Regions from separate parts of the Mus musculus genome. Here regions 1 and 2 are each reported to be linked to region 3. Evidence: microRNA targets listed by miRTarBase, many of them from high-throughput screens and not tested one by one. Region 3 holds a microRNA gene; each other region holds the end of a gene's coding sequence.
The links. The annotated mature microRNA mmu-miR-3082-3p reads CACAUGGCACUCAACUCUGCAG and lies in region 3 at 4,809-4,830, shown strand. An mRNA with a match to its seed (bases 2 to 7 or 8) in the 3' UTR can be bound and repressed. Matches are read on the target gene's strand: a 7mer-m8 pairs with bases 2 to 8, a 7mer-A1 pairs with bases 2 to 7 and ends in A, and an 8mer does both.

Region 1: the mRNA of Efhc2 is a reported target of mmu-miR-3082-3p. Seed matches in the 3' UTR shown: 7mer-m8 at 8,865-8,871.
Region 2: the mRNA of Ms4a15 is a reported target of mmu-miR-3082-3p. Seed matches in the 3' UTR shown: 7mer-m8 at 6,521-6,527.

The regions. Positions count from the first base shown.
Region 1 is chrX:17,123,354-17,132,629 of GRCm38, forward strand. Efhc2 (EF-hand domain (C-terminal) containing 2) reads right to left here. Exons shown (of 16, transcript NM_028916.5): 16 at 8,696-9,019. The coding sequence ends at 8,912. Among named protein-coding and RNA genes, the nearest start is that of Gm4203, 12 kb to the left of the region's middle.
Region 2 is chr19:10,972,576-10,982,604 of GRCm38, forward strand. It overlaps Ms4a15 (membrane-spanning 4-domains, subfamily A, member 15), which reads right to left. Exons shown (of 7, transcript NM_001034898.2): 4 at 8,718-8,774; 5 at 7,995-8,087; 6 at 7,524-7,637; 7 at 5,732-6,750. The coding sequence ends at 6,634. It overlaps Ms4a10 (membrane-spanning 4-domains, subfamily A, member 10), which reads right to left and starts at 2,125. Exons shown (of 9, transcript NM_023529.3): 1 at 2,044-2,125.
Region 3 is chr17:25,826,167-25,836,195 of GRCm38, reverse strand. Mir3082 (microRNA 3082) reads left to right here and starts at 4,768; the gene lies at 4,768-4,831. Jmjd8 (jumonji domain containing 8) reads right to left here and starts at 7,153. Exons shown (of 9, transcript NM_028101.5): 1 at 7,033-7,153; 2 at 6,858-6,956; 3 at 6,664-6,712; 4 at 6,494-6,590; 5 at 6,343-6,411; 6 at 6,135-6,254; 7 at 5,990-6,057; 8 at 5,762-5,896; 9 at 4,353-5,686. The coding sequence starts at 7,124. The coding sequence ends at 5,606. It overlaps Stub1 (STIP1 homology and U-Box containing protein 1), which reads left to right and starts at 3,277. Exons shown (of 7, transcript NM_019719.4): 1 at 3,277-3,504; 2 at 3,952-4,150; 3 at 4,235-4,400; 4 at 4,565-4,652; 5 at 4,831-4,887; 6 at 4,978-5,094; 7 at 5,186-5,562. The coding sequence starts at 3,343. The coding sequence ends at 5,311. Wdr24 (WD repeat domain 24) reads right to left here. Exons shown (of 9, transcript NM_173741.3): 3 at 9,572-10,029; 4 at 9,043-9,161; 5 at 8,840-8,961; 6 at 8,664-8,768; 7 at 8,203-8,543; 8 at 7,858-8,042; 9 at 7,466-7,781. The coding sequence ends at 7,613. It also overlaps Rhbdl1.

The DNA.
Region 1 (9,276 bases), not on the chromosome of region 3:
AATGGAGTAGCTACAGAAAGTACCCAAAGAGCTGAAGGGGTCTGCAACCCTTTAGGTGGAACAACATGAAATAACCAGTACTCCCAGAGCTCGTGTCTCTAGCTGCATATGTAGCAGAAGATGACCTAGTCCGCCATCACTGGGAAGAGAAGCCCCTAGGTCTTGCAAACTTTATATGCCCCAGTACAGGGGAATGCCAGGGCCAAGAAGTGGGTGTGGATATGTAGGGGAGCAGGGCAGGGGAGGCTATGGGGGACTTTTTTACTGAGGCAGCTATATCAGGGTCCTTTCAGCAAAATCTTGCAATGGTGTCAGCGTTTGGAGGCTGATAATGGGATGGATCCCAGGGTATGGCAGCCTCTAGATGGTCCATCCTTTCATCTCAACTCCAAACTTTGTCTCTGTAACTCCTTCCATGGGTGTTTTGTTCCCAATTCTAAGAAGGGGCAAAGTGTCCACACTTTGGTCTTCGTTCTTCTTGAGTTTCATGTGTTTTGCAATCCAAGTAAAGTTTTAATGTCCTATTATGAAGCTGTTGTGGTGTTAATAAAGGATTGTAGAATAGAATCATGAAAATATTTTGGAAAGAATGTCTTAAAAACCTGATGAGACATCTATTCCTTGTTTCAAACAGTAAATAAATTAGTTATTAAAGAATGCTGATATTTGGCCTATTGCATAGCTAACATTTTAGGCAAAACTGATAATCATTATACAAAAGACAATATGTTAAAATGTGCCTGTATGTATGCTTTTGTATTTTCTGTAAATTTATGCATGCATCCCATAAAGAATATATGTACTGTATTTACAAACAGCCCTTCTATGGAAGAGAAGTAGATGTGATTGGATCACATGTTTATTCTTTTGAGTTTCGTTCTACTTCAGCACAAATAATAAGACTATGTGTTGTAACCACTGCTTTTATAGTGTTGAAAAATCAAGCTTTTAATTTGTATCCTGATATATATATAATATACACAACATATATATATATATACATATAAATATACTATATATATTATATATATATCTTGCTCAGGGATTAGAATTGCTTGAAATTGTTCCTATTTAGATACTGCTAATTCTCAAATTTTGCAGTTGTTTATGCATATACAACTCAAGTTAAGAGAATACTATCCCTTTAAAGGACTGTCTTTGGACATTTAGGAACTCATCCTGGACTGGCTGGATAAGACCTCTTAAGGCAATGCCACAGCAGATTTGTATCCCAGGCAGATTATAGGCCATACACAGGAACAATTGGCCATATAACATTCTTTACATCATCAAAATAGTAATGGCTTGAGATAATAATTTGGTATTTTTAGAGAATGTCCATGTCAAATTGTAAAGACTTGTTCTCAATGTCCTCAGTTTCTACCTGTTCCATATAATGGTGTTAATTCTTGAGGACTTATACTTAATCAATTATTGCAAATAGATACTCATATTTCTGATTTTAGAAAAATAAAAAATATGCACATGTGACTATTGATACCTTTTCATGCTTTCCAGTTGCAACTGCTTTAACAGGAGACACAGCTAAAAATGTATTTGGTCATTGCCTGGATTATTTTTCCTATGCTTGGTGTTCCAAATCAGATTAAAACAGATAATGGAACTGCCTATTATGGTCAAGCATTTGAGATGTTTTGTTAGCAATTTAATGTTACCCATATTACTGGGATTCCTTATAATTCACAAGGACAAGGTATTGGGGAGCTTTAAAACAGTATCTTCTTTAAAATCAAAAAAGGGCGAATTATATCCTCCAATGTCACCAAAAGCACACCTTGCCTTTGTCTTATTTGTTTTAAGCTTTTTGCAAACTGGTGCTAAAGGTCAGTCTGCAGCAGATCGCCATTGGCATCCAGTCACTTCCAGCTTCTATGCCATGGTTATATGGCGAGACCTCCTAACTAATACATGGAATGGTACAGATCCCATTTTAATATGGGGGAAAGGTTCTGTTTTTGCTTTTTCACAAAAAGAAGATGGAGCCTGGTGGCTGCCTGAAAGATTGGTTCGTCAAGTGGACACAGATACTGAGTCTTCTAGTAAGTATGATTCCAATTATGAAGATGAATAAACATCTTTATCAGCCAGCTGAATTAATTTGGAGCCTAGTTTCCACTATTACCTGAGAAGTAACAGTTTTTCCTGTTGATTCTCAAAACTACCTCCCCCATACTGGGAGGACAGGTCTTGTGTCTGATCGTTGCTAATGTACAACTGAATTGAGTGCTTGGCACATTCCCCACAGACAACCTTAATCCTGTTTGCTCTTAACTTTCCATTTTTTTTTTTTTTAAGCAGATTGGTTCGCTTTCACATAGGATCATCTTTGGCAAGCTCAGTCATTCACCATGGCAGTTATTCATCGCTATGAAGAAATGCATTCAGTGCATATTGTGGCTTTGGTCTGAATGGGAAAAAAGTGTGCTATGAGGGCTGGCAGTCAAAGATGGGACACTGATGTTCTATGACTCTTATCAACCTAAGACAGGGGCATGTGTTAAATGGCCATGTTTGTTCATAAGAAACACTAAAAGGACATGTTTGTGCAAATAAACACAAGCACGCTGTTTGTGTCCTCCAGGATAGATAAGAGACAAACACACAGACCTAAGCCAGGTGTGGCTGCCAGCCACCATAATTCCCAGTTCTCTGTGGCCACTGCCAGCTACAGGACAGCATTTCACAGCAACTCTCTCCATTCTCTGGTGATTATGTTCTTTCTGTTCCCTCTTGTATGATGTTTCCTTGTATGATGAGCCTTGAGAAAGTGTTGAAATAGATACCATCTATGGCTGAGCTCTCACAATCACTTATTGTCAGCACTCTGAATAGTAATGCATCTCTATGTTAAACACTACTCACTGACCAAGGCTGGGGGCAGCACAAACTTTAATAAACAAATAATATAAGGCAGTTTGTCAACATGGCCATTCAGAAAAACAACACTATAGGTGTTTCCCCAAAGGTCTTTTATTTTCCTGGTCCTGGTTTTTGGCCATATTTATAGTGCCAGGCATGAAATCCCTCCCGTAGTGTGGCCTTAAGTACAATCAAGGAAGATTTTACCATGTATAGTCTTGCATCAGTGGGCACATTTTGCCTCATAGACCAGTATTGTACACAGGGTCCAGTGCTGGATAAGAACATTGATGTTATTCTCCCCAGCAACCTCCATAACACCTTTCAGCATTATAAAAGCTGCTCAGTTTAGAGAGTTCTCTGGCCAATTCAAGAATTTTATGTCTAGGAAACAAAGTGTGTGGTGTCTTCAGCAACAGAGTCTTACCACATAGCTATGGTAGGTAACCAAGGGCAGTGGCAAAAACTTTTATTGTTTTGGGGACCTCTGCAGCCTGTCTAACAATATCTGGCACTGAGATTTTTCTTTAAAAACTTCTTTAAAATGAACACCGTGTTTCTTATATCAGCACTCTAATGACTCAAATAATGTAGGCCTAGCCCATACCATTCTGTAAAAAAAAAAAAAAAAAAAAAAAAAAAAAAGAAAAGAAAAGAAAGAAAAGAAAAAGAAAATTCAGACCTGTTTTATCAGGTTGCCTTATCAAAACTTGTCATTTTTTTCAGTTCCCCAAGTTACCCACATTTTAAGGTTAAAAAAATCTGTTTCTGTTACTTTCCAAGTAAGAAAGAATTTTATTTCATATCCCAGGCTGTCCTTCAACTCACCAGGGTGGAAATTATTGTGTGTCACCACTTCTGACTTCAAGTAAAATCCTTATTTTTTTAAAATTATGTATTTTGTGTAAACATGTTTCTGCATGCATGGGCATATTTGGAAGTCAGAGGACAACTTTTCAGAGTTGTTTCTCTCCTTCCACTAAGTAGGCTACAGGGATTTAACTTGGGACATGGAGCAGGGGAATGGGCAGTGTGTGGAGGAAGCTTGGTGGCAAGTGCCTTTATGTACAGAAAAATCTTGCCAGCCCCAGGCAAAAATCTTGACTTCGTTCAATCCAAGTTTTCTCTGATGCATCCCAGTTCAGTGAACACCAACATCTTCTACCCAGATGTCAAAAGGACTCAATCATAATTGTGATTTCACTCTCTCATCTCCACCATCCCAATTGTGTCACGAATTACTCCCATTCTCAACAATCTTACCAAAATTAATCCAAGCCATCAGTCAACTCTCTAGCAACAGTCATCTAATCAAACCTTCTCACCTCCCAAGCTCAGCTCTACAAGTACACACACACACACACACACACACACACACACAAATACAGCCAATAATATTCAAATCCAGGCATGATCTTTTCAGGCTAGAGATCCAAATTTTCCAGTAATATTTCATCCCTCTAGATGAAGGTCAAATTCTTTAAGGTTGAGTCACACACACAGGTGATGATCTCCATTCTCCTCTGGAACTCCCTGCAATTGTTTCTTGCTGTCTTTCTTCTCTCTCTGTAGGGTCTGATCATAGTTAAAACTGGCAATATTTTCATCTCCTGTTCTCTATCCCATGGGTGGCCTCACAGTAATAATGACAAGCCAGAGTGGTATGGGAGAAAAAGAAAAAGCAGGCAAAAGTAATTCTGCCAAGTCCCTACGGCAGTCAAAGGTCCTTTGCATAGGCAGTATAAGAAAAAGGAAACAGAAAGATGACTTTGGTAAAGGAGAATACATTTTTTCTGTGTGTTTTTACCAAGCCATGTACTCCTCTGAATTTCAATATTATAGTGGGGTCGTATTGTTGGCTTTACACAGATGCAAAACAGTGCTCAGGAAGCTGGGAGATTGATGAATAGTTGGTTTGATGTATTTGATCTATTCAGCACTTTGAGTTAAATGTGCAGATTCTGTTCAGAATAGACAATAGGGAGGAGTGGTCCCTCTTTCCATCTCTAACTTGCATAACATCAGGCCTCACTGCTTTAACTAATGAGTGTTTAGAAGTCAAAGCTCCCACTGATTCTGGGGAGCCATTAATTCTCTGCTTGCAGAGCCACTATGGAGTTTTTCATAGAGCACATTTCTTAGCCATTATCAGTTATTTCTGAGCAGCAGAGCTGACCCCTGGGTTCCTATGTGAGTCACACACAAGACACACAATAGGTTCTAAAGTGTCCTTGGAAAGAATTTAACTGGGGACCAGAAAACAGATGCAAAAAAAAGGTACCCATGCTGGCCATTCTTTAACAAAGTTGTCTGCGAACTGTAACTTTGGGAGAATTAATTGTCACAAAGTACAAATGTATATTTAAACCAACATCTAACCTGGTAGAAGGCAGGCAAAAGCAAGCTGGAAGATTCTTTTAAACTAATTACCATCAGTGCTATCCTTTGTGATAATTATGCTTGTTCCATTATTGCCCCAGGTTGATTATTTGCTCAATAGCCTTATTGATCTTGCCTCAGTAGGCTTTCCAGTTTTTACACATTACATTCTCTTGGGAATTGAAAAGCACTGTGTGTCTGAAGATGCTCAGTCAACTTGAAAAGACTCATTTTTGAAGAGGTCTTAACCTGCTTTCAGTTTAAAGCAATTCAGTGTTTGGTCAAGTAAACTTGAGGACAGAGATGGATGCATCACTAGGATCAGTGGGTTTTGCCATCACTTGGAAGCCGTTAGTTTGAAAGACCATTTATAGAACAATGTTGAAGGACATTCAAAATTCAGGGATCCAGACTAATATCTAAAGGGAGTGCACAAACCATTAAGACCCTGGCATTTTATTATTGGATGGATTCTACATTATTCAATAGCATAAATATTTTGTGAGGAACATGACTTGTTCATTTAGATTCCAGGCACTGAAGTCATAACTAGAAAATTTATAATGCATGGAAGAAGAGCAAGGTGAAGGACGAAAGCAGCTGGAATAAAAGCAGCTGAAAGGCCAGAAAAGTAGGTGTCAATCAAACTGAGATAAATCCAAGTTGGAAAGACAAGGATTTTCCCCAATTTTTAAAAATAATGTTGTTTGCTCTGTTTTTGAACAACATGAGGTCTTGTTTTACTCATCAACAATTACCTGATATTTGAAGGAAGGAAGGATGAATGAAGGGCAATTTAAATATTCTAAAACTGTGATTGAGGGATCCAGAAAGCCTAGAAGCTCTATAACCCCAAGGAAACAAATTCAGTAACACAGTATAAAAATACCAATAATGTTATATATGATATTAGTTGAATCAAAGACAGTATATAGAAAAAAGCAGTTTCAACTATTATATGTTCAAAACTATAATGCTCTTCACTTCCTCTCTATTGTCTAAAATCTCAACCATTTAGTAACTGCTAAGCCAAGCAATAGGCTTATCTGCATTCTGTTTCAGATGGTTAGGTAATAGGTAAAAAAGGTGACAAGGAAAAGACCAAGTAATACTGCCAATTAGTCATCTTCTGACAGTAGCATGCTTCTTCACACAGTGACTCAGCATCTCACTACTCTGAACTTCAACATCTTTTAATTACTTTTGCACTAAAAGTCATGACTTGATTTGTGCTTCCAAATAACTTTAGCAATCATTTGCAGGACTCCAATAATACTAAAAATCAATTAGTTCAGAGGACAAAAGGTTTGCCTATATTAACCTTCAACTCACCCAGACACCCACATGTAATTCTTGCTTTTCACCACAGGAAGAAAATGTTAAGAGGTAATAATCGGTTTATACAAAGGTAAAGAAACCTAGAGTTTCTCTTTCCCAGAAATAAAAAGAAGAGGCAGAAATCCTGGTCCCCCTCTCCATCTGCCCTAAAGATTTGAGTCATAGAGTTTATTTGTTAAAAATGGTTATCTGCTGCTTGAAACCTAAGCAGAACGCATTAGCATTTAGGGACCACCTGTGACCAAGGGGAGCTGGGAAATTTCCAACTCAAGTGTAAGACCATTCATTGATATTTACATAATGAGAATAAATGTTTTTCCTAAGATAGCATTTTCCTTCAGTATCTTCAGACCACCAGCAAGAGAGGGAGGCACAGAAATTCTATTACATTAATAGTCTTTGTTTTTATGGCTTTGGCATTTATTAACTAGTGGGAGCTGTTTATTGGGTCATAAACTTTACTAATGGGGATATTATCTCTGAATTATAAATCTCCTTCAGTATATGGCTTAGTTATAAAATGAATAATTATTTAAAGTGTCTGTATGGCTGTAATGTATCATGTTTATCGGCATGATTCCTATAATGGCCATTTTATTGTTAATTGTGAGCTTAAACCAGGAACCACCAGGGCAGGAACACAGATCCATGACTTAGGATAAATAGTCGTCACCCCGTGTACTCAGGCACACTATCATTGGTTTACTTCCTTTGCCCCCACTTCTCAAGTGAATTACAAAGTCTACACATGGGCTAAATTATCTGAGCAGTCAAATGGGGGAAATATAACTGAGTGAGGGGTTGAATAGGTAGGTGACAGATGTGTCAATCTGAACACTTCTAGGCACATGTTATCCCTTCTAAAAGCTTGTTCTCTGGGAAGTAGAATAACCTTAAAATGACAAAATAGCTTGGCATTGTTAGTTACCTTAAAAAAAAAAACTGGGACAAAACCAAGCCATCAAAATTAGAGTTTTATGGGCCCACTGTAACTTGTGAATTCTAGTTTAATACGTGGCTCTATGGGACCAATTCTGATGGTGCACATGAAATTGTCCTAGGTTTATGAAGAGAAGTAATTTACTGGCTAGTTTTGATTAAAAGAAAATGAAAGAGCCATTGTTGTGAAGCAAACTGGATCATAAAAGTAGGAGCCAACTCATCTGGGGACAAGGGAATGCTCCAAGTGAAGAATGAAAGGAGAAGGGAGTTCCCTTTCTTCTTGGAAGGGGACCCTGAAATGGCCTTGACTCCTCTTCTTCTCCTCAGGATGACCCCTAACAAGCACAGTCCTTTCTTGATAGACTCCCACTGCCTTTGAGACAAATACATTTATGATATTTTTAGCACCCAGCACTATGGCCTGGCATGGCATAGGGAAGAGTTCTAGACATTGAAGCTCCACTGTGATAGGTTGTAATCAGATATACACTGTATGACAAGAGTGTGTCATGACAAATGTGTGCGGGAAAAGTTCAAACCAGGGAAATGCAGGAGAGATCCATTGTAATTTTAAACTACTTAAACCTCTGGGCTAGAGTTTTAGAGGCTGGTAGTAAGTATGCAAAATGAAGCAAAACAAACCTTTGAAACTTTCCATAATCATATCCCTAAATATTTTAAAATAATACATTTTTGGTCATGCTCTAATTATATACACATGCATATATTACTAAGCTAAGAAGCTGAGTTTAGATATTAAAAGACACTAAAATTATAAATACAGCCTATGTTTTAATTTCTCTCTTAAATGTGTGTGTGTGTGTGTTTTGGCAGAGAGAAGGTGCTTTTTTTCCCCATAACTTCACTAACTTTAGAAAATATACACTCACTCTAGAGAGGTTTGAGAATTATTTTGATGAGGTTCATTGCTACAAAACTTAATTATGTAAGTAATAAACATGTGTCAAAAAGATTTCAAAAATACTTACCAGAATCTCAACTTATTGCTCTGATATAATTTGATTTTATATTGTCATGCATAGCTGTCAAAAGTCATTTTCTTTTCACATTGCAATGAATCGAATTATATTAGATGGAAATTATTGTAAGATTCTTTGGCATTCATAAATAATACATACAATAAAATGGTCAACAATGTTTTAAATGGTATTTTTAATAGTGCTGGTAAATCAACAATATAACAAGCTGTTCTGAGGAACTACAGTGACAAAGAAAATTAATTGTGGTTTATGAATTTCCATTTAATACAAACCTTGTTTCTTATTTTTTGTTTGTTTTAAATGAAATTATATTTATTAAAATAAACATGGCATAATGAGAACAGTAAATCAAAGAGAGTTGATCAAAACCTTCATAGCATGTTGTCCTCTAAGCCATATACATCAATCAAAAAGTCTAAGTATCTAACGTATTTCACAGGAATAGGTGATGGCATTCCCACCCAAACGTCTTCACATTTCTGGAAAGAAAACAAACATGGACACAATTATAGCCACATTTCAAAGTTCAGTTTTGAAAATTCAGTGGTACATTTTTTTAATCTTTAAATAAACTTTTGTTGAACTTGTTTCTGGACTTGAGAGATGGGTGGTTCAGTGGGAAAGAACATTTAGTATTCTTGCACAGGAGCTGAGTTTGATTCCCAGCACACACACATAGTAGCATACAATTGCCTATTACTCTAGCTCCAGGGAACCCAACATTGTCTTCAGACCT
Region 2 (10,029 bases), not on the chromosome of region 3:
CATGGTTAGGCCTGGTACCAACTTCTATCTTAATTACCATGAAGAGGGGAAGAGGCACCATGACCAAGGTAACTTATAAACAAAAGCATTTGATTGGGGGCTTGCTTTTGCTTACAGTTTCAGAGTTTTAGTTCATTATCATCACAGCAGGGAGCATGTCAGCTGGCGTGACTCTGGTGAAAGAGCTGAGAGCTTTACGGAGGCTGAGTGGGGGTGGGGCTAGACCTGGAATGGGCTTTTGAAACCTCAAAGTCCACCTCCAGGGACACTCTTCCTCCAACAAAACTACACCTCCTAATCCTTCTAATCCTTTCAAATAGTATCATTGGCTTTTGTTAGTCACTCTCTGGTGACTAAGCATTCAAATGTATGAAGCTATCGAGGCCCATTCTTATTCAAACCACTACACCAGGTGGCTAGCCTCCTCAATAGTGCAGTCTTTCTCCCTCCTCAAACTTCCTCTCCTGGGCTTAGGTTTTCCCTGGAGTCCATCTTTTAGTAATAAACCCATAGAATGCTTGTGCCCTGTTACCTTGCCCACCTTATCTTCAGGACTGGGCAGACTGCCCTGGGGTGAAGGTAGACTGGCAGGATGGGAGGGGCAGAGGGAGAATTTTTTGGTCTTCTCTCCCAGGCTCCTCAGCTAGAGGAGCCACAGACCCAGCTGTCTGGTGTCTTAAGGAACCGTAGGGTCTTGGTGATTTATACTCAGCCTCAGACTTTCTGCAAATCTCTCCCGTTTCCTTAGCCTGTGGGAGGCAGAGACAGAGCTAGGAGGATTCTGTAACCTTTTAGTGGGCCAGAACATGAATCTTCCAAGCAGACAGGCCAGGCCTAGCCCTGGCTCTGCTCCTGCATCTCAGTGTCTAAGTCTGTTTCTATGGATACACAGGAACACTAGTGCTTGCCTGAGGGTGGGCTGCAAAGATTAATTGGGCCAGGGCCAGAGGTTAGAATTTAGTAATAAAAGCCAATGATACCTGCCCTACAGCCTGAATCTCACCTGACCTCTGTCTGGTTTTCTGTTAAGAGAGGTCCCATTCTAATCTCCAGGATGGGGAGTTCATTGCTTCTATCTGACTCCTGCTCAGAGCAAGGAGGAAATCAGCTATGGGATCCTGATAGCTGGGAAGGTTGTGTCGAGGAGAGTGTGTGGAGACAGTTATCTGGGAGCACACAGGACTGCCCTTCAGGATTTTGTCTGCAGAGCAATGAGCTGGTTGCCAGGGAATGTCTAGAATGGATAAGATCTGTCCATGGGAGGTCTGGGTTAGAAGGTTGAGAAAATCTTGATGGGAATGTGACCCTAAGCAGACAGTGCAGAAGAAGTCAAGAGAGCAGAGAGGGTAGTGTAGTGTGTGTTTACACATACGTGTGTATGTGTATATAATATGTGCACATATATGTACATATATGTAGATGTATGTATGGGCATGTTAGGCAGAGAAAGGCAGGTACCGAGAGGTATGGAGTCAGTGTGACAGAGTGGCTGCTGGCAGCCACCCTTAGAAGATTGGGTTTTCAGTTATGTTAGGTCAGAAGGGGCCCTGGCATTTGCAAAGTAAACTTTCTCGAGGTCTCAGGGCTGGGCACTTGGTGTAAAGGGAAGATATGGGAAAAAGAGGGTGGAATTTCCCAAGTGTCTTCCTTGCTTTGCTTTTTCAAATCTGTCTCTCTGTGTGCTCAAGGTTCCAGGGTTAGAAGGGACGGGGTGTCATTCCTCTTAGCTCTCAGAATCACCAACTGATCCTGGGTAGTGGGCTGGGCTCCTGGTAGCAGACTCCTTCCTGGAGAGAGGCCCGTAGTAACCCCACTTCCCAGGACTTCATAGCATGGAACATTTGTTCTCCAGCTGTTGTGGACATTGCTTGATAAACAGTTCCTGTTCACTTCTGGGGGGGTCAAGTTTCAGCCACTCACCACCAGCTTGCAGCTACTGACTGACGAGCACAAGAGGCTGATCTCTTGTGTTAAGACTGAACCCCACTTGAGGCCCTGATGACCCTCCCTTGTTTGTTTCTGCTGTGGAGAGGGGGTACTCACCTGGCCCCGGGAACTCTGTTGTAGGCTTCAGCTGTGCCTGACCATCCAGAGCTGCCTCAGCACAGAGCCAGAGGTGGAAATCAGAACATCTTTATGGCTTTAGACTTTGGATTCTTTTCTTTCTGGGACCCACCCCTTGCTCACACTCCCAGCTAATCAGAGATGCATGTCTGGACTAGATCCTTCAAAACCATCTGCTTCCAAACCTGGGCAGGTGAAGATCTGAGTCTCCTTCCTTATGTCTCCCTTTAACAGCTGAGACAGTTAATGTTGCAGTGATGACATTTCAGTTCATGGAGCAGTTCATTGTCAAGTTGGTGAAGGCAGCATTTGAATGAGTTGATTATTAAAATTCTCAAATTTTTATTTGTGTGTGTGTGTGTTGATGTGGGTGGCTGATATGAGTGTGTGATTGATGTGTGTCTGTGTGTCTGTCTGTGTGTCTGTGTGAGTGTGTGTAGGTCAGAGGACTTTGTGAAATTGATTCCTTCTTTCCACCTTTCCACAGTGCTGAGGTCTGAACGGATATTGTCAGGTTGTGCAGTAACTTTAGCTTCTGAGACACCTTTCTGGCCCCTCAAAGAATCTTTTAATTTTTTGAAAGTTAAAGTATCCACAATAGTGGTTACAATGACCCTGCCCTGGGCCTTGTGTCCCTCCTCAAACCAGCCATGGTCATCCTAAGTTCTTGCTTGACTTTGGTCTCTGGTGGTAAGCCAGACAGATGTATTGTCATCTGTGTAAGCATGGTAGTGTTTGTCTTAAAAGGTATGGTCACGTGACCACAAGTAACAGGAAGCCCTGATTGAGAGTGAAGTCCAGCCACCACCAAGCTTGCAGCGCATGTGACTTACAGAGAACTTATATCTAAGGCATGTTTGGATCTTGACCATGGACATGGTGAGATGAGAATGTGTAACTTCAAGCTGTCCAGTCTGTCTCATGCAGAACTAGATAACTACTGTGCTTTTTCTATCTTTTTCCTCTGGTTTTTAAAGACGGAGAATACACATTTAATTGTTAATATTTAATATACATATTAAAGTGTATGCAGCATATGCAGTTAGGTAAATTTGTATGTATATATGTGTATGTTGGTTTATTTGTGTGTATTATTCTCTATCTTACTTTTCTTTCTTTTTTAAAAAACGATTTTATTATTTAATATGTATAATTGTTTTTGTTTGTATGCATGTCTGTGCACCACATGCGTGCCTGGCACTCTCAGAGGCCAGAAGAGGGTGTCAGATCCCTTTGAGCTAGAGCTACTGACAATTGTAACTGCCATGTGGCAAGTGGGTGCTCGGGAGGAATCAAACCTTGGTCCTCTGGAAGAGCAGCCAGTACGCTTAACTACTGCTGAGCTGTCTCTCCAGTCTTCTTACTGTGTGTGTGTGTGTGTGTGTGTGTGTGTGTGTGTGTGTGTGTGTGAGACCACGTGTACACACACAGAGGCACGTGCACACACACAGAGGCACGTGCACACACTAAAGTTAGTGTTATTGACGATGCTCCAAAATGGAATTAACCTGGTTATCCATCAACAGGTAAATCAATTAAACTGATAGAATAAAACAAAAGGTTTATAGTATTGAAAATAATAAAATAAAAATATAAGATGTTACAGATAAATCTCTAACATTTCATTCAGTCAAAAGAGTCAGACACAAAGATACACACATACTATATAATTTCATTTGTGTGATGATTAAAAGCAGGCAGAGCTAGTGATGTTTAAAGAAATAAATAAGAGTCGAGCTTTTTAAAAAGCTTCCCACCTGCTCTGAGCAGAACTGACTCATTGTGGGAATAAGGCCAAGAATTTGTTTCCTTGCCCCACCCACCTTTGATTATTAAGTATAGTCAACAACTGTGGAATGACCAAATAGGGAGCTAAGTAAGAGCCCCTGGGAGTAGTGAGAGCGCCCCCTATAGTTCTCGCACTGAAGTGCCACCCTGTTTGTCATCAGTCAGAAACTCAACCTGATGAAAACTGAGGGGTAGGTAGCCTTGGGGTGTGATTAGGATTAGAAGGCTATGGGGATGAGGGCATAAATGAATCCTAGTACTTTATCAGAAACAGAGAAGAATCAGATTCGCATGCATGATTTTCCTGCCTTTTGTTGAGCAATGCTTTGTGCCACCTTTAGACTCTGCCTGGAGGACAGACTCACCACTGTACGTGAACGTTTGACCTTCAATCTCCAGAACAGCGAGGTAAATAAATCTCTCTCCTTTATTAAAGTTAGGATCCTTGGGTATTTGATAATAGATCGATGCTTCATCCTATGTAAAAACAGAACTCTCTGAGGTTAGGCAAGCTAGGGTTCTCCAACAGAAATTATTGAAGAAATATCTGCCATTATTTAGACTAGGTTTTCTCTCAGATTTTTTAAAAAAAGATTTATTTATTATTATATCTAAGTACACTGTAACTGTCTTCAGATGCACCAGAAGAGGGCATCAGATCTCATTACGGATGGTTGTGAGCCACTATGTGGTTGCTGGGATTTGAACTTCGGACCTTCGGAAGAGCAGTCATCGGTGCTCTTAACCACTGAGATATCTCTCCAGCCCTCTTCTCTCAGATTTTTATCCAGAACCTTTGCTCATTGTCCTGAAACAGAAATGCCTGTTCCCAGATGGTATTTTGAGATCTCTTATTCCTGTCTGTCTCAGCATAAACTTGGTTGTGGTTATTGTGGGTTCTGAGTACTCAGTCAAGATATGAACAGGTTGGAAGGGAATCATGGGAGATGACATCAAGGAACAGTGGGAAAAGCATGAAGCTAATGATGTAATGACGATCTAGATGGTTAGAAAACGGGCATCTGGGGGGCTGGAGAGATGGCTCAGCGGTTAAGAGCACTGACTGCTCTTCTGAAGATCCTGAGTTCAATTCCCAGCAACCACATAGTGGCTCACAACCATCCGTAACAAGATCTGGCGCCCTCTTCTGGAGTGTCTGAAGACAGCTACAGTGTATTTACATATAATAAATAAATCTTAAAAAAAAAAAAGAAAAGAAAAAGAAAAAAGAAAGGGGCATCCGAACCAGACTGAGGTGGGAGGCTGGGCAAATCTGGTAAGACTTTGACGTGCGTACAGTCAGCACATCTTGAATTCATTAGTATTTGTTAAAGCCTACTCGTGATTAATGTCAGCACTCGGCAAGCATGTATGTAAGTTCCGTGTATTGTGGAATCTCATTAGCGTTCTCCTCCGTCCACACGCCGAGTTCAGGCCTCTGAAGGCTTCCTTTGTTCTCTTACTTGCCCATCCTAACTTTCAACCCAAGGTCTCTCATGGAACCTGGGACTCACTGATTCAGATAGATTTGTTGGCCATGCAGGCCCATGGGTTCCTCCACTCTGTGCCTCTCCAGTGCTGGGACTACAGACCCGTGTCACTGTGCCCAGCTTCTCACTTGCATGCTGAGCACAGAGACTCAGGTTCCTAACCACGGAGTCATCTCCCCTGTCTCCACACAAGTTGATTTTCACATATGCAATTACCCATGTGATCATCATCGAATTCAAGGCATGGAGATGTCCCTAACTGTAAGAAGTTACCATATCCTGCCTGCTCTTAATGGGGGTACTTGCCTGAATCTCCGATTAACCATGATTAAGCCCTCAGAAGATCCCAAACTTAAAAAGCAAATGCCACCACATTGAGACCAACTTAAAATCTAAGCCACGCTGTTTATTTTTCTCCAAAGTATAGATGATACAAGCCATATGTCAGGGCCTGTGAACACTGGGCTGAAGTGGTGACTCTCAGGGGCACTCCTGCTTTTCAGGCAGGGTTGGGGGAGTATGGAGTGGTTCAGTCTCCTCTGCAGCCTCCTGTCCTAGTAGGTGGGCAGAGCCAGAGTCAATGCCAATCTTCTGTTACAAATAAGGAGAAGGAGGTTCCGGGGTGGAGAAGAGAAATGCAGGGCTTAGCCAAGAGGTGCTTTTTTTTGGTTTTCGAGACAGGGTTTCTCTGTGTAGCCCTGACTGTCCTGTCCTGGAACTCACTCTGTAGACCAGGCTGGCCTCAATCTCCCAAATGCTGGGATTAAAGGCGTGCGCCATCACGCCTTAGTCTTATGTGGTGTAGTTTAACACTCTAGTTTCCGGGTGGGAAAATGAAATCCCAAAGATGTAACAGCAGATGACAAAGGACAGAGCTGATCTTCGGAGCTAGGAGCCTGGAGGTCAAGCCTTGCTCTGAGCCTCTGAAATGCCAGTCTATTCTGGAACATTCTGAGTTCTCCGTGCTTAATGATCTTGAAGACAAACCTCCGAAACCTCTGCGAAGCCAAGATTTCCCACGATGAGCAGAGGACTGAGGAGGAGTGTACGGGACGTCTATGTCAGGTGACAGGGCTGAGAATGGGCACACCCTGGACACCAGCTTTATGCCTTTTTTGGAAAGACAGTATTGGAGGAACTAGGAAATGGATGGAACATGTCACTCAGTGACACAGTGCACATGGCTTGGAGAGTCTCGCTGGGAAACCGCTGCCTTAGAACGGACAAAGTGAGGGTGGAGAGGCTCTGGGTAAAGTGGGAAGCCTGGACTTCAACCTGCAGAACTTGTAATCTATTCTGATGACTCCTTGGGCATATATGCCACGTTGTCATAGGCAGGAGGTGGAGAGACTGCTGGGCTGGGGATGTTGAAATCCGTGCCAAAGGCATTGGGTAGGAAAATCACAGACTGCAAAGAAAAAAAAAAAAAAAAATCCCAAATTTTGGGTGGCTCTGCGGTCTTCGGGGAGCGTTGCAATAGTGCCACCCCGTGGGTATTCAGAGAACAGCAGCTCTCTCACACAAAAGCATCGTGTAACTGACATGTTAGCAAACATTTTCTAGGGTCAGTTATGAGCTAGGACTTGGACACACTGAAGCTAGCAAAGTAGACAAAACCTCATTTCCCCTAGGGGCTAGTGAGCTGATATTTCCTCTCTGGATAGTCTCTGCTGAACCCGGGGCTTCTATAGTTCTTGCCTGAACATGCTGCTCTCACAGTAGTAGTCACTCACTGGGCTCCTTTAATCTAGTTCATCCTCCTGCTCCAACTTTAAATGGCACCTGCCATCCTCTACATTCTCCTTCCAGGCAAGCCTCTGCGCTATCAGAACCCCCTCTTCCCACTCTCTTCCACCCGCCTCCTATTTTCCCCTGGAAAAATGAGCTTCCACTGAGACATGCTGTCTTTTCTGATGTGTCCATCTGTAGGCAGTCTGTGGGCTCCTCTGTGCAAGGTGCACGCCTCGCCCTCCCCAACCCTGTCCTCTGATTCCAGAAGAATTTCAGTTCTGCCTATAGTGTTGGCGCCCCCAGTGGCCACGGGTGAATAGTCCCATTTCAAAACTTGAGGTTCTCATCACAGCTCAGCCACAAAGGGGAAGTGGGAGGGGCTGCAGGAGTAACCTCTTCCTGGACAACAGGCAACCTCAGGGGCTCTGGACGTGGTGTGAGAATACTTACTGCGTTAGTTTGAGCACGGGTGGCTTGGCACCCAAAGTGGGTGGCAATGACAGCGATGAAGAACTCCAGGATGGTGAAGATGGTCAACACGGCAAGGTAGCCCCTGCCCACATCCTGAGAACCCAAACCCACAGTCAAGGCAAACAGAGCGTTTAAAAGTAAAGAGACCCCCTCCCCCCCCGGACCAAGAATAACTTTCCCAGGCAAGAGGCAGATGTGTGTACCTGGCTCCAGCCTTCCTGACTCCAGCCTTGGGCCTCACTCCTTCCATTCTACGGGGTCTCATCTCCCTTCCCCTGCCTTCCCCATCCGACGTGGGGTAGGGTCAAGGTGTCAGTACACTCATGAGGTCTACTGGAGCATCAGGCTCTGCAACTAGCCCAGGACTGCAGACTCTTGGGTCTTCCCTAGTCCTGGCTATAACCCTCATCTCTCTGGGTTTATCACCCCTTGGGACATCTGCCAACACACCCAGTTAGTGACACCAAAGTCCATGAGAAGAATGGCTGTCCCCGCGAAGGCTGCCATGGCACTGAGGATGTTGGTTCCCAGACTGCTCTTCAACTGTGGGAGGAAGAGGAGCAACAAGAAGAGGCAAAGAGGAGAAAGGACACTCACTGTGCCCAGTCTCCTGCACCCTCCTTCCCGGCCTAGGGGCTTGGGGCCATTAGCATTGGAGGAGGCTGGGTTTTCCTTTCCCCATTCTTTCTCTTCTCTTTCCCTGAGACCCCAAGAAAAGGCCCTGATGCCTCTCTCTGCTTCTTCCATCCTCTTGGGAGCTTCTGGGAAGGAGGCCTAACCCTCTTAGTGGCTTTCCTGGGACATGTTTGCAGCATGCATCTGCCACCTCCCTCCCAACCCCCAACTTGTCTTCCCTCAGGCCCAGGCCCATCTACCTTAACAACTTGGTGGCTATTCTCTTGGGGACCCTTCCTGCGACTGCCTCCTCTGAAAGTCTGTGAAGACTTTATCACTAGACTCTTACCATCTACCTTGGGTGGCATTTTGCAAGTGTCTCGTCTCCTCCTTCTGTATGTGGATGTTTAAATTCCTTCTGTGGACACTTAGAAAATCTCCAAGGAGTGCTTGTTGAATGGGCCAAATGAGTGAGCAGATGGGAGCGGGGTCCCGAGTGGCACCCAGGTAGGTGGGCACCATCCCTATCCCTGGCTCTCTGTGTCCATTCAGACTTACCAGGCAACTGGTGTGGTTCCTCTCAGCTGCTACGGAGAGGGACCCAGAGATGATAAACTGTGTGGGGAAGAGAGAGCCCAATGGGGTTTTGGCTGAGACACGTGCAGGGAGCATCATACCTAGGTCCCATCAAGAAGGTAACAGATAGAGGGGCATCAACTTCCTTGTCTGCATCTTGGCCAGGCATCTTGGATATAGTCCTAATCTTAGTGGTTCTGTAAGAGGCCCCTGTCCTTGGGCATGGTGGCACACGCCTTTAATCCCAGCACTTGGGAGGCAGAGGCAAGTGACTCTGTGAGTTCAAGGCCTGTCTGCTCTATGTAGTGAGTTCTAGGACAGCTAGGGCAACAAATAGAGACCCTGTCTCAACAAACAAACAAATAAACAACAACAACAAAAACAAACACAAAGAGGCCTCTCTCTGTCTTGAGACCTCAAGCCATGGTTTACTAGGTATGCATTTTCGTTGACGGTATATTACTGAAGTGTCATAGTACACTCACCTTTCCTTCTAATATTCACTTAACAAGTAGCAGTTGGGTGTCAAGAACATAAAATGAAGAGCTACTTCTCTCATATACACATGAGGGCATGTGCATGCCTCTCTCTCTCTCTCTCTCTCTCTCTCTCTCTCTCTCTCTGTATGTATGTGTGTATGCTTGTGCATGCATGCCTCTGTGTGTGTGTACTTGTGCATGCGTGCCTCTGTGCTAAGGTCAACCTTGAGTGTCATTCCTCCATAGGAACTGCCCACTTCGGTTTTGAGATACGACTTCTTATGTGGACTTGGGCTCACTGATTATGCCAGGTGGTTGACCAGTGAGTTGTGAGAAGGGCTGTCAGTCTCTTTTTCACCAGCCCAGGTGGGCTTTTGACAAGGGTGGTGGAGGTAAGGACTCAAGCCCTCACTCTTGCCGTGTAAGTTCATTACACACTGAACTCTCTCCCTGGCCCTGTGAAGTTTTAAGATAAAAGCTACATATGCCCCGCCTAGGCCGCAGGACCCTGTTGTCTCTCGAGAGACTGACAAACAGGCGTTTATTACCCCTCCTACCATGGGAATGGCACACATTTGTGACAGATTTTGAAGCAGGAGGGATTTTAAAGAACAGTGCTACCTTTGTTTCTTCCCAAGGCAGTGCCCACTTTAGACTCCTGCTGGCCAACATGTCCCTCCCTCTTGGGTCCACTATGGACCACTAGAAGCAGGGCTTAGAGCTTGTTCCCAGCCATTTAGCTGTAGCTGTGAAGTTTCAGCAATGTTGGTCTCTGACCTCCACTTTTAGGGGCTTCTGAGCTCTTGCTGAGACTG
Region 3 (10,029 bases):
AGATCAGCAGCAAGCGTTCCAGCAGCTTCAAGAGAGCCATTGCTAACGGACAGCGGGCACTGCCCCGAGACGGACTGCTAGATGAGCCAGGCCTGAGTGTCTACAAGCGGTTTGTGCGCTATGTGGCCTACGAGATCCTGCCCTGCGAGGTGGACCGCCGCTGGTACTTCTACAGGCACCGCACCTGCCCACCCCCTGTGTTCATGGCCTCGGTCACTCTTGCCCAGGTGGGCCTGCCTACACATTGCCCTGGGGCCTCCTGAGTCCCTAGTCTTGACCAGCCCTAACACTAGTGTCCCCAGATCATCGTGTTCCTGTGCTACGGGGCACGTCTCAACAAGTGGGTGCTCCAGACCTACCACCCTGAATATATGAAGAGCCCTCTGGTGTATCACCCAGGACACCGTGCTCGGGCATGGCGCTTCCTCACCTACATGTTCATGCATGTCGGGTAAGTGAGCCTTGCCTTCCAGAGCCTCTTCTCCACTCCTACCCCCAGCACCTGCCCACTGACTCTGAAGGCTTATCTCCCAGCTAAGTTACACTGCCTGAGGTGGTCTGGAGTAGGCAGGGTACCCATCTGACCACCTCTGCCATGCTCTTCTGTGGCCAGGCTGGAGCAGCTAGGGTTCAATGCCCTCCTGCAGCTGATGATCGGTGTGCCCCTGGAGATGGTACATGGCGTGCTTCGCATCAGCCTGCTCTACCTGGCGGGCGTGCTGGCAGGTGAGACTGGCATATAGGTGGGTGGGTCCCCTGCCTACCTCACCTGCTGAGGGGAGGGCCAGCTGTGCCCTCACCTCTCCCTTTGCCCACAGGCTCCCTGACTGTCTCTATCACAGATATGCGTGCCCCCGTGGTAGGGGGCTCTGGAGGGGTCTATGCCCTGTGCTCAGCACACCTGGCCAATGTTGTCATGGTAATGGGACTGCCTTTCTGGGGAGGTGGGAAGGGGCCCATTGGACATGCTTCACAGCCTGTCTGCCTGCCCCCATCAGAACTGGGCTGGGATGCGGTGTCCATACAAGCTGCTGAGGATGGTGCTGGCTCTGGTGTGCAGTGAGTAGTGGGGCAGGTGGGGCGCTGGGAGGCCCTTTACCTGCAGACAGGGCCCCTCCCACCTGTTGCTCCCTCTGCAGTGAGTTCCGAAGTGGGCCGGGCTGTGTGGCTACGCTTCTCCCCACCACTGCCTGCCTCAGGCCCACAGCCCAGCTTCATGGCACACCTGGCTGGTGCAGTGGTAGGTGTAAGCATGGGCCTTACCATCCTTCGGAGCTATGAGGAACGCCTGAGGGACCAGTGCGGCTGGTGGGTGGTGCTACTTGCCTATGGCACCTTCCTGCTTTTCGCCATCTTCTGGAACGTCTTTGCCTATGACCTGCTGGGTGCCGATATCCCCCCTCCACCTTGACCTGCTCCCTAGGGCCATGTGGCTAGAGCCAGGCACCAGGTGGGCCTGCATGTCTGCCCTATATGAATGGACCTCTCGGCTGCTTTTCCCCACAGGGGCAGGGGGGCCCTGTGATCCCCCACCCCCAGCTGAAGCCAAGTCTTACTGCAGCCCTTGCTGCACCCCCCCCCCCCAGGCTTTCCAGGGGGAGGGGTGTTACTGGGCCAGGGCTGGGTGGAGGACCTTGAGCGTGGCCCTAGAGGAGACCCCTTCCCTCCCCACTGACCCCAGGACTTGCAGTCTGAGCCTTTTTGGAGAATGAATAAATATTTTACACAGCACCAGGTAGCTGTCCTGGGGCTCTGCAGGCTTGTCTGCCCCCTCACCCAAGCTGTATGAGACACCTCCCCTCCAGGACGGTCTGTGCTCCCTCTCTCCCTTCAAGCTCTGCACCTGACTTGAGGTGGTAGCTTTACTCCTGGCCATGGCCGGAATCCACAGGAGGTGGGGCCCCTGGGAAGAAACTGTGGACTTCCAGGTCAGTCCAAGTTCAGCAATCGTTTATTGTGCTACAAGAGCTTCCAATCTCCTGTTCTTTCAGCCTCCCTTCCAAACGCAAGCCCACAACAGAGCTAGGTTCACTTGGCCTGGGTCCTGTAATTCTTGGCAGGTCCTTGTGGGAGGCCCAGTCAGGGTGAAGGTCAGGCAGCAGGTCTGGGCATACATCTGCCCCCCAAGTTTGCACAAGACGAAGAGTCTACAACTCTAAGACACTCACTAGTGAGGTCCACAAGGGTTCTGGGGTCAAGTTACTAACCACCAGAACCATGATGGGGCCCTGGATGACCTCTCAGGCCCCGCTCAGCCCCGCTCAGAAAGGCAGTGAACTCTTGCACCTGGGCTAGAAACAGCAAGTAGTGCTTGAGTGTGTACTGGAGGGTTAGCAAGCTAGGAACTGTAGCCACCGCCTCTTCGTATATGAAAGCTGCAACCCCAGAAACCTCTGCCTCCAGGACCACTGCAAAGAGTGACAAGGAGGTTCTGGGGATAGCTTTTTTTGAGCTCCTAGAGCCCCCACCCAACTTGGGCAAAGATGCTACCTACTCACTCGAGGCAGTGGCAGAAACCACGCAGCGAAGTTTGACTGCGGCGCCCAGATCAGCAGAAAGCCGAGTTCTGCTTCTCCAAGTCCGGGGTTGGGGGTGTTAGCGGCCAACAGCTGATGCAGCAGCGGCTAGAAATGCCTCAACGACAGACCATGGGGTCAAAGGGTCTTGGTGCAGGCGCTCTCCAAGGAAACCAGCCGGCTCCGCCCTTGAAGAAGCTCCTCCCCATGACCGCGAGAAGGGCAAGAGTCCAGCCGTGCACCCGCAGCTACTTCTATAGCAACCGCAGAAGGTCCTTCGGTGTCAGCGTGTCACGTGCTTGTTTCTCAGCCATTAATGGCCGCAGGCAGCTCCTCCCGATTCCCGAGGAAGCCCCTCGAGAGCGGTCTGATCTGCGGGCCTCTCTTCTACCCTCAATTCCGCCTTCCTACCGGCGGTCCAGACGTTCCCAGGCTGTCGCGTGAGCCCGTGTGTGCCCTGGTGGTGCGCTAGGACCCGGGCCTAGTGACCGGCCCTCGGAAGGCCACTTCTCAATGACCGCTGCCACGTTCGCCCAGCTTGGGGCCGGAGGGCGGGGCTTGAGCGCCGATGGGCGGAGCCTTGGTCTGAGCAGGGTAGGTCTCGGTTACTGTAGGGCGGGGCCTGTAGAGCGCGGCGGAAGCTTCTCAGAGCTAAGGGAACTGGCTCAATCCACGAGGCTCCGCCTTTGCTCACGTGTCCCCATGCCAGCTCCGCCCCACACCGGAAGTTCCGGTGGCGGATCGCCGACCGGGCGGAGCTGATCGCTGCGCGGGCTGCGAGATCTAGGTGGCCGGGCGCGGAGCCCAAGCCGTGCCGCGCGGCGCCATGAAGGGCAAGGAGGAAAAGGAGGGCGGCGCGCGGCTGGGCACTGGTGGCGGCGGCAGCCCTGATAAGAGCCCGAGTGCGCAAGAGCTCAAGGAGCAGGGAAACCGGCTCTTCGTGGGCCGCAAGTACCCGGAGGCGGCGGCCTGCTACGGCCGCGCCATCGTGAGTGCGGGAGGGGCGGGGGCGGGGCCCGATGTGCCTCCCAGTTTTGTGATCCCGGACAGGGTTTCTGGCAGCCTGGACTCGATGGCTCGCTCGCTCCCCTGGTGCCCGGATTGCTGTTCCCGAGTCTAGGGCTGATTTGACTGGGAACTGGCGGGCGGGATGCTTGATTAAGTAAGACTAAGGATGACACCAGGAGCTCTTGCCCCTTGAGATTTCCAAGCCCAGAGCTTGTAGAGGGGTTGTGGGATTTCTCTCAAAAGCAGTTGGAGGCAAGAAAGCATGGCCAGAATCCAGAGCTCTTGATAATTCGGAAATCTCCAGTTCCTCTATTCCAGCCATGGGCCCCCAAAGCTGGAGCATTGACCAGATCATTGGCTTTCAGCTTGCTAAATGAGAGGGGATCAACTGAGCCCACACTCTTTGACGCCTGGTCTTGGTCCCCAGACTCGGAACCCACTTGTGGCAGTGTACTACACTAACCGGGCCCTGTGCTATCTGAAGATGCAGCAGCCTGAACAGGCACTTGCTGACTGCCGGCGAGCCCTGGAGCTGGACGGGCAGTCTGTGAAGGCGCACTTCTTCCTGGGGCAGTGCCAGCTGGAGATGGAGAGTTATGATGAGGCCATTGCCAATCTGCAGCGAGGTGGGCTGACAAGATGCAAGGTTGAGGGCACCTTGGGGGACCAGGATTGTTGACAAGTGTAACCAAAAGTGTCCACTCCCCTAGCCTATAGTTTGGCCAAGGAGCAGCGACTCAACTTTGGGGATGATATTCCTAGTGCCCTTCGCATTGCTAAGAAGAAGCGCTGGAACAGTATCGAGGAACGGCGCATCCACCAGGAGAGTGAGCTGCATTCATATCTCACCAGGCTCATTGCTGCTGAGCGAGAGAGGTGGGTCCCTCCCCCAGCAGACACTGAGTCACCAGCACAAGTGTTTTTATTGAAGGACAACAACCGGTACATGGGAAGCCCAGGAGGAAAGAGGCCTGAGATGGGGCGGGCTCTGTGATTTCCTGGTCAGGGCCATCACCAACTAGCTTCTGGTTAACCCTCAGGGAACTGGAGGAGTGTCAGCGGAACCACGAGGGTCATGAAGATGATGGCCACATCCGGGCCCAGCAGGCCTGCATTGAGGCCAAGCACGTGAGGGTGCCCCTAGTCCACATGTGGGTCATTGTGTGTGTGTTTGTGTGTGGCATGAAAAGTGCCCCAGCCTTTGGTGGATCTGTTGGCCCATGCATGACATGAGTGCCCTGGTGGACAGAGTGTGTGTGTCTGTGTGGAGACAGGAGTTGCCCACACATGGCACTCAACTCTGCAGGATAAATACATGGCAGATATGGATGAGCTCTTCTCTCAGGTGGACGAGAAAAGAAAGGTGAGGACCCCCGGAAGCTCATCGGCTGCTGCTGGTATGGTGACCCCCACAGCCCCCTCCAGTTCTAGACATTTTCCCCTTGTGCTATAGAAGCGAGATATCCCTGACTACTTGTGTGGCAAGATTAGCTTTGAGCTGATGCGGGAACCCTGCATTACACCCAGTGGTATCACCTATGACCGCAAGGACATTGAGGAGCACCTGCAGGTAAGGAGGGCCCATGGAGACCGGGCCATGGAGAGCCTTGGTACCCGGATCGGTATACTCAGGCCATTGAACACTCTTGACTCTGTTGCAGCGTGTGGGCCACTTTGACCCTGTGACCCGGAGCCCTCTGACCCAGGAACAGCTCATCCCCAACTTGGCCATGAAGGAAGTCATTGACGCTTTCATCTCTGAGAACGGCTGGGTAGAGGACTATTGAGGCCCCATGTCCTGCCTGGCACCCTGGCCCAGGAGGATCTGGAGACGGAAGCTCCAGTCCCTGTATAGTTTGTGTCCCTGGGCCTGCCCCCATCGGCCCTGCTGATGGGTTCTGAACTGCTCCCCTTCTCAGCATACCCCTTGCTGGACCATGAGCCTCCCTTGTCCCCCTTCTGGGCTGGAGAGTGGGTGAGGGTGGGCTGAGGTTGCTGCTGCTGCCACTGTCCTGTAATAAAGTCTGTGAGCACTACATTGGCATGTGCTGGTGCAGTGGGCTTGCCAGTTGCCTGTCTGGCTAGCCAAGGAAGGTAGAAATGAAGACACTGGTGTCCAGATTGAGTGTGGCATGCCACCACCGATCAGGAAAATACAGTACCTGGGAGAAAAGAAAAAAAAAATTTTGATTCATGGCTTTTTGAGTTAGCCCAACCCCCACCTACCAGCTACTGACTTCACCAGCCTGGATGGTACATTCTAGAGGCCGTGCTGACAGGGCTAGAGATGGGTATATTTCCAGCAGCCAGGCCAATGTGGTCTTGTTAGGGTGGAACTCAGGTGTCTTCTCAGGAGGGTAGAGGAACCAGCGCTGGAGGCAGGAGTGTAAGGTCACTATGTGTGCAATGGACTATAGACACCAGATTTACACACACACATAACACACACATAACACTGTACTGACCTTCCGACCATAGATAACCTCTGAGAAACCAGGCCCATGCCAGTGGAAGGGTACCCCAGATCCAGCTCCTGTGGGGTCAGTTATGAATAGCTGATGAACAAAATATATATGGGCTCCCCCAAGTTTGTTTTGAAGTAGCCCCTACCTGCAATTCCAAAGCTGTAAGCAGGGGTGGTTCCCAGGAGACGGAATGGTGGCGGAGAGTAGTGCTGGAAGAGGGATGCCCACTCAGTGAAGTTGTTGTCTCCAAAAAAGTACAGGGTGTCTGCCAGCAGAGAGGGTGATAGGCAGGAGTACTGGCAACAGTGGGCTCCCAAGTACCCCACTCCCACCGCTGCCTGGGTCTGGCTCACCATTGCCTAGGGATGCAGGATCCTGGGGCTGCAGCAGCTGTTCCACATATTCCTGGAAGGGCAGGTCCACTACAAGAAGGGGGAGCCAGTCGGGACTGGTCAGTTCTGCCTTTGAGATGTGAAGGCAAACCTTGCAGGGTGTGTAGCTCACCTTTCTGGTAGGAGTAGGTGTTGGCTGTACTCAAGCGAACAATGTTGTCCCCGAACGAGGCTAGCAGGTTTTCCCGGGAACACAGGGCCCGGAACTTCTGGGGATGAAGGATAAGGTAACTGAGCACTTGGCCAAACAGAAGCAGTTGCCCACAGGGTACGAATACTCACCGAGTTGTCCGTGAGTCCTTGCAAGATGACGGGCTTGAGGAAGGCATAGCTGGGGGGAAAGAGGAGAATGTTGCACTGAGTTTGAACTCTGCAGGGGCCTCTCCTACACACCAGGCAGTGAGACCTCCGCAGCCAAAGACCATGATTGGTAGTATGCCTAGAATCATGCTGAGACTTGGGGCAGGCACACATACTGCTGCATGAATTCGGAGTACGTGATGTGTGCCCGACGCTCCACTGTGCAACGCTCCTCCTCCATTACTGCTGCTGCAATTCCCAGCCCATTCTGTTTCCTGCAGGGACAACAGGTCAGGCCAGTCAAAGCTTTAAGTTCAGGCTCCCTCCCGCCACCCATTTCCTATGGCTCACCATCCCCCTTCGCCAGAGGCAGGCAGAATCACAGTCACCATCATCCATAGTACAAAGAGCAAAAGCAGACCGCGCCGCCCAGCCGCCGCCATGAACATACGGGTGCAGGCGCGCAGCACGCTGGGAATTCTGTCGACACTTGCGTAACCACAAGCCATTGGCTTATCATCCGGACTGCTGTAGCTACCTGCAAGCAGTAGCCAGCCGGCCTTGGAAGTCTCCTCCTTCTTCATACAAGCGCATTGTACACACACACACACACACACACACACATCCACACAACATCCCTATTTAATCATTTCCTCAAGGCGGAGGGAAAATTGTATCGAGCAGCCATTGACTACTGTGCGTTACCATGGCTACAGCGCCCCTACCGGAAGTTCCCATGTGCTAGAAAGTTCCCACCCAAGGCGCAATGAAAGTGACAAGTGGCCAAACAGCAGCTCTGGATTTTTATTGGGTTAAAAAGTTGTAGCCACCTTCCATCCTGGTACACAGGATGGGTAAGGGGCTGTGAGCCTAGTCCGGTGGACATCGGGATCGAGCTGAGGACGCTGCATCAGCCTTAGGGAAGGCCAGGTCAGGAGTATTCACAGAGGTGGCCGCAGCCTGCAGGGCAGTGGGAGCTGCCTTCCAGCCATTTCATGATGTGCTGAAGATGGCCACCATGACTGCAACCCTGACACCACACGAACAGGCCTTTAACCACATGATGGCAGACAGCACACATGCTGGCACAGCGGTGGCACCTGGGAATGGGAGGGCTGTTCAGCTGGGGAGCTCTGGGCTGCCTCCCTTCCAACCTCCCCAACTGCACCATCGCACCTGTCACAGACCCAGCCGCGGCTGCTCATGGGCCGCTTGCAGTGACTACAGTTGACATGCAGCGTGGTGGAGGCTTGGTTGAGGCAGCTAACTGCCCTGCTGGTGCTCAGCTTCACCACCTCATTGGACACATTCCAGAGGCAGAAGCGCTGCAGCAGATCTATGTAGGATGTGTACCAGTGCTCCTGGTGGGGAGGGACAGGCTCAGGTTAGTGTTTCCAGGAACACTAGGGTGTGTGTGTGGGGGGGGGGGGGGGTACAGTGGAAAAGAAACAGGCTCAGATGAGGGAACCAGCAGCCAGTCTGGGGAGACCCTCCCCTGCCCCGCCCCGATCCATCACACACCTGGGTCTGCTCATCGATGTCCTTTCGCACTCTCTCACCCAGCACGATGAGAACAGACACAGCCATCTGCACGTCGCCCTGCTCAGCGTAGAAGCGCAACATGTCCCGTACCAATACACTGAAGAAGTCAGGTGGCAGGCGGCTGTCATAGAGTGCATGTGAGACGGAGAGGAGGGAGGAGGAGGAGTCCACCGGGGCTAATGAAGCTGTGTCTGCCTCATTGCCGCTCACGTGCGGAGAGTCCGCCTTGTCCTGCAGATGCTCGGGCCCAGATGGTGTGTCTACAATTTCATGGCGCAGTGGGAAGGCCTCTTGTGGCAGCACATATTCAGGCTCCTCGGCTGGGAGGCAGGGGTGAGGAAAGATGGACCTGAGTGTAGGCTTCCCGCTCCACTCAGCTCCTGCTCACAGAGCCATGTTCTGGGTTGGACCCCTCTATAGCTGACCCAGCCCCTACTCACAGTGCACATGTTCTGTGTCAAGTGGGTACAGCTCATCGTCCTCTCCTTCTACGTCACCCAGCAGGTAGTCAGCAGGCACATCACTCCCTTCTGTTTCCTCATTATCTGCCCAGCAGGGAAGGGAGGTCATTCAGGGAGTGGCACCCCAGCCTTTTCCCATCAGCATCCCTGCCTACCCTCATTGGTGACGAGTGTGGCTGAAGAGTCAAGCAGCGCCGCATCACTCCGTGTGTCCCCTTTGCTGCGATCCAGCCGTGTCTCACTGCCCAGCCCCGGGCCCATATCCTTCAGATTGAAGCTATAGGAAGGGAAGGCTTGTGGGTGGCCAGGCCCCGGCAGTCCACTCTGGGGAGGGGGCAGGAAGTAGCCAAGGATCTACCTGTTCATGAGCGGTAGGCCGCAGGAGCTGCCTTTGCCGACGCTGTGGTTGAGATTGGCAGAGGATACCAAGCCAGGGCTACAGTAGATAATCCGTAACATGGTCCATGTCTGTGCCACCTAGGGGGAGGGACCAACCACTCAGGGGTCTCCATCTCCTGAGCAGAGTCATATACCAACCCATGGCCTGATCTACTACCACCCAGGAAACTGGCCCCTGGAAAGAGCAGTGTCCACTCTACAGTAGCACATCTGTGAGGTGTCTGGTGCTAAGATTAGCAATGGAACAGATATGGGGAAGAGAGAGAGCAGAAGGCAGCTCCAACACCAAGAACGAGGTAGAAGAGCGGGCTGTAGGCACGGGACTCCTTGGCCTCCACCCTGAGTTTGGGCTAGTCTGGTTCCCATGATCTTTACACTGTCAAATACTGTGACAGAGGCTGCCACTGTGACTGAGCTCAGGGGGGTTGTGGGCATGATGCCCCAACTACAGCAGCAGTCTCGGACCCTGGGTCTCCAGCTTCACATACCTGATTGCGGCCAAGCTCCCGAGCCACTTTTGCATTGTGATCACAGAGCTCGGCTAGTGGCCGGCCAGCCAGAACATAACGTTCAGCTGTATCCACGAACCAGCTCATGCTGCCACCGCTAGACTCCGTCTCAAAGACGCTCAGTGCACTGGAAGCGAGGCCAGAAAAAGGTTCTGCAGGGTCCAACTTGCGCTTGAAGAAGATGGGGTGGCGCCGGTCACCAGCATAGGGTTTACGTCCAGATTCAGCAGCCACCAGGCTTTCCTTAACAGCAAAGGCCAGGTCCCCAAAGAGGCCATAGCAGAGACCCTCAGGGTTGGCACGCTCAACAGGCTGACTGGCATCCCGAAACAGGTGCTGGCATAACGTGCTGTCCTTGGAGCCGGAGAGCAGGAAAGAGGGGTCATGCGGATGACGCCAGGCAATGCCTGTTGTGACATCACGATGCTCTTCAAACA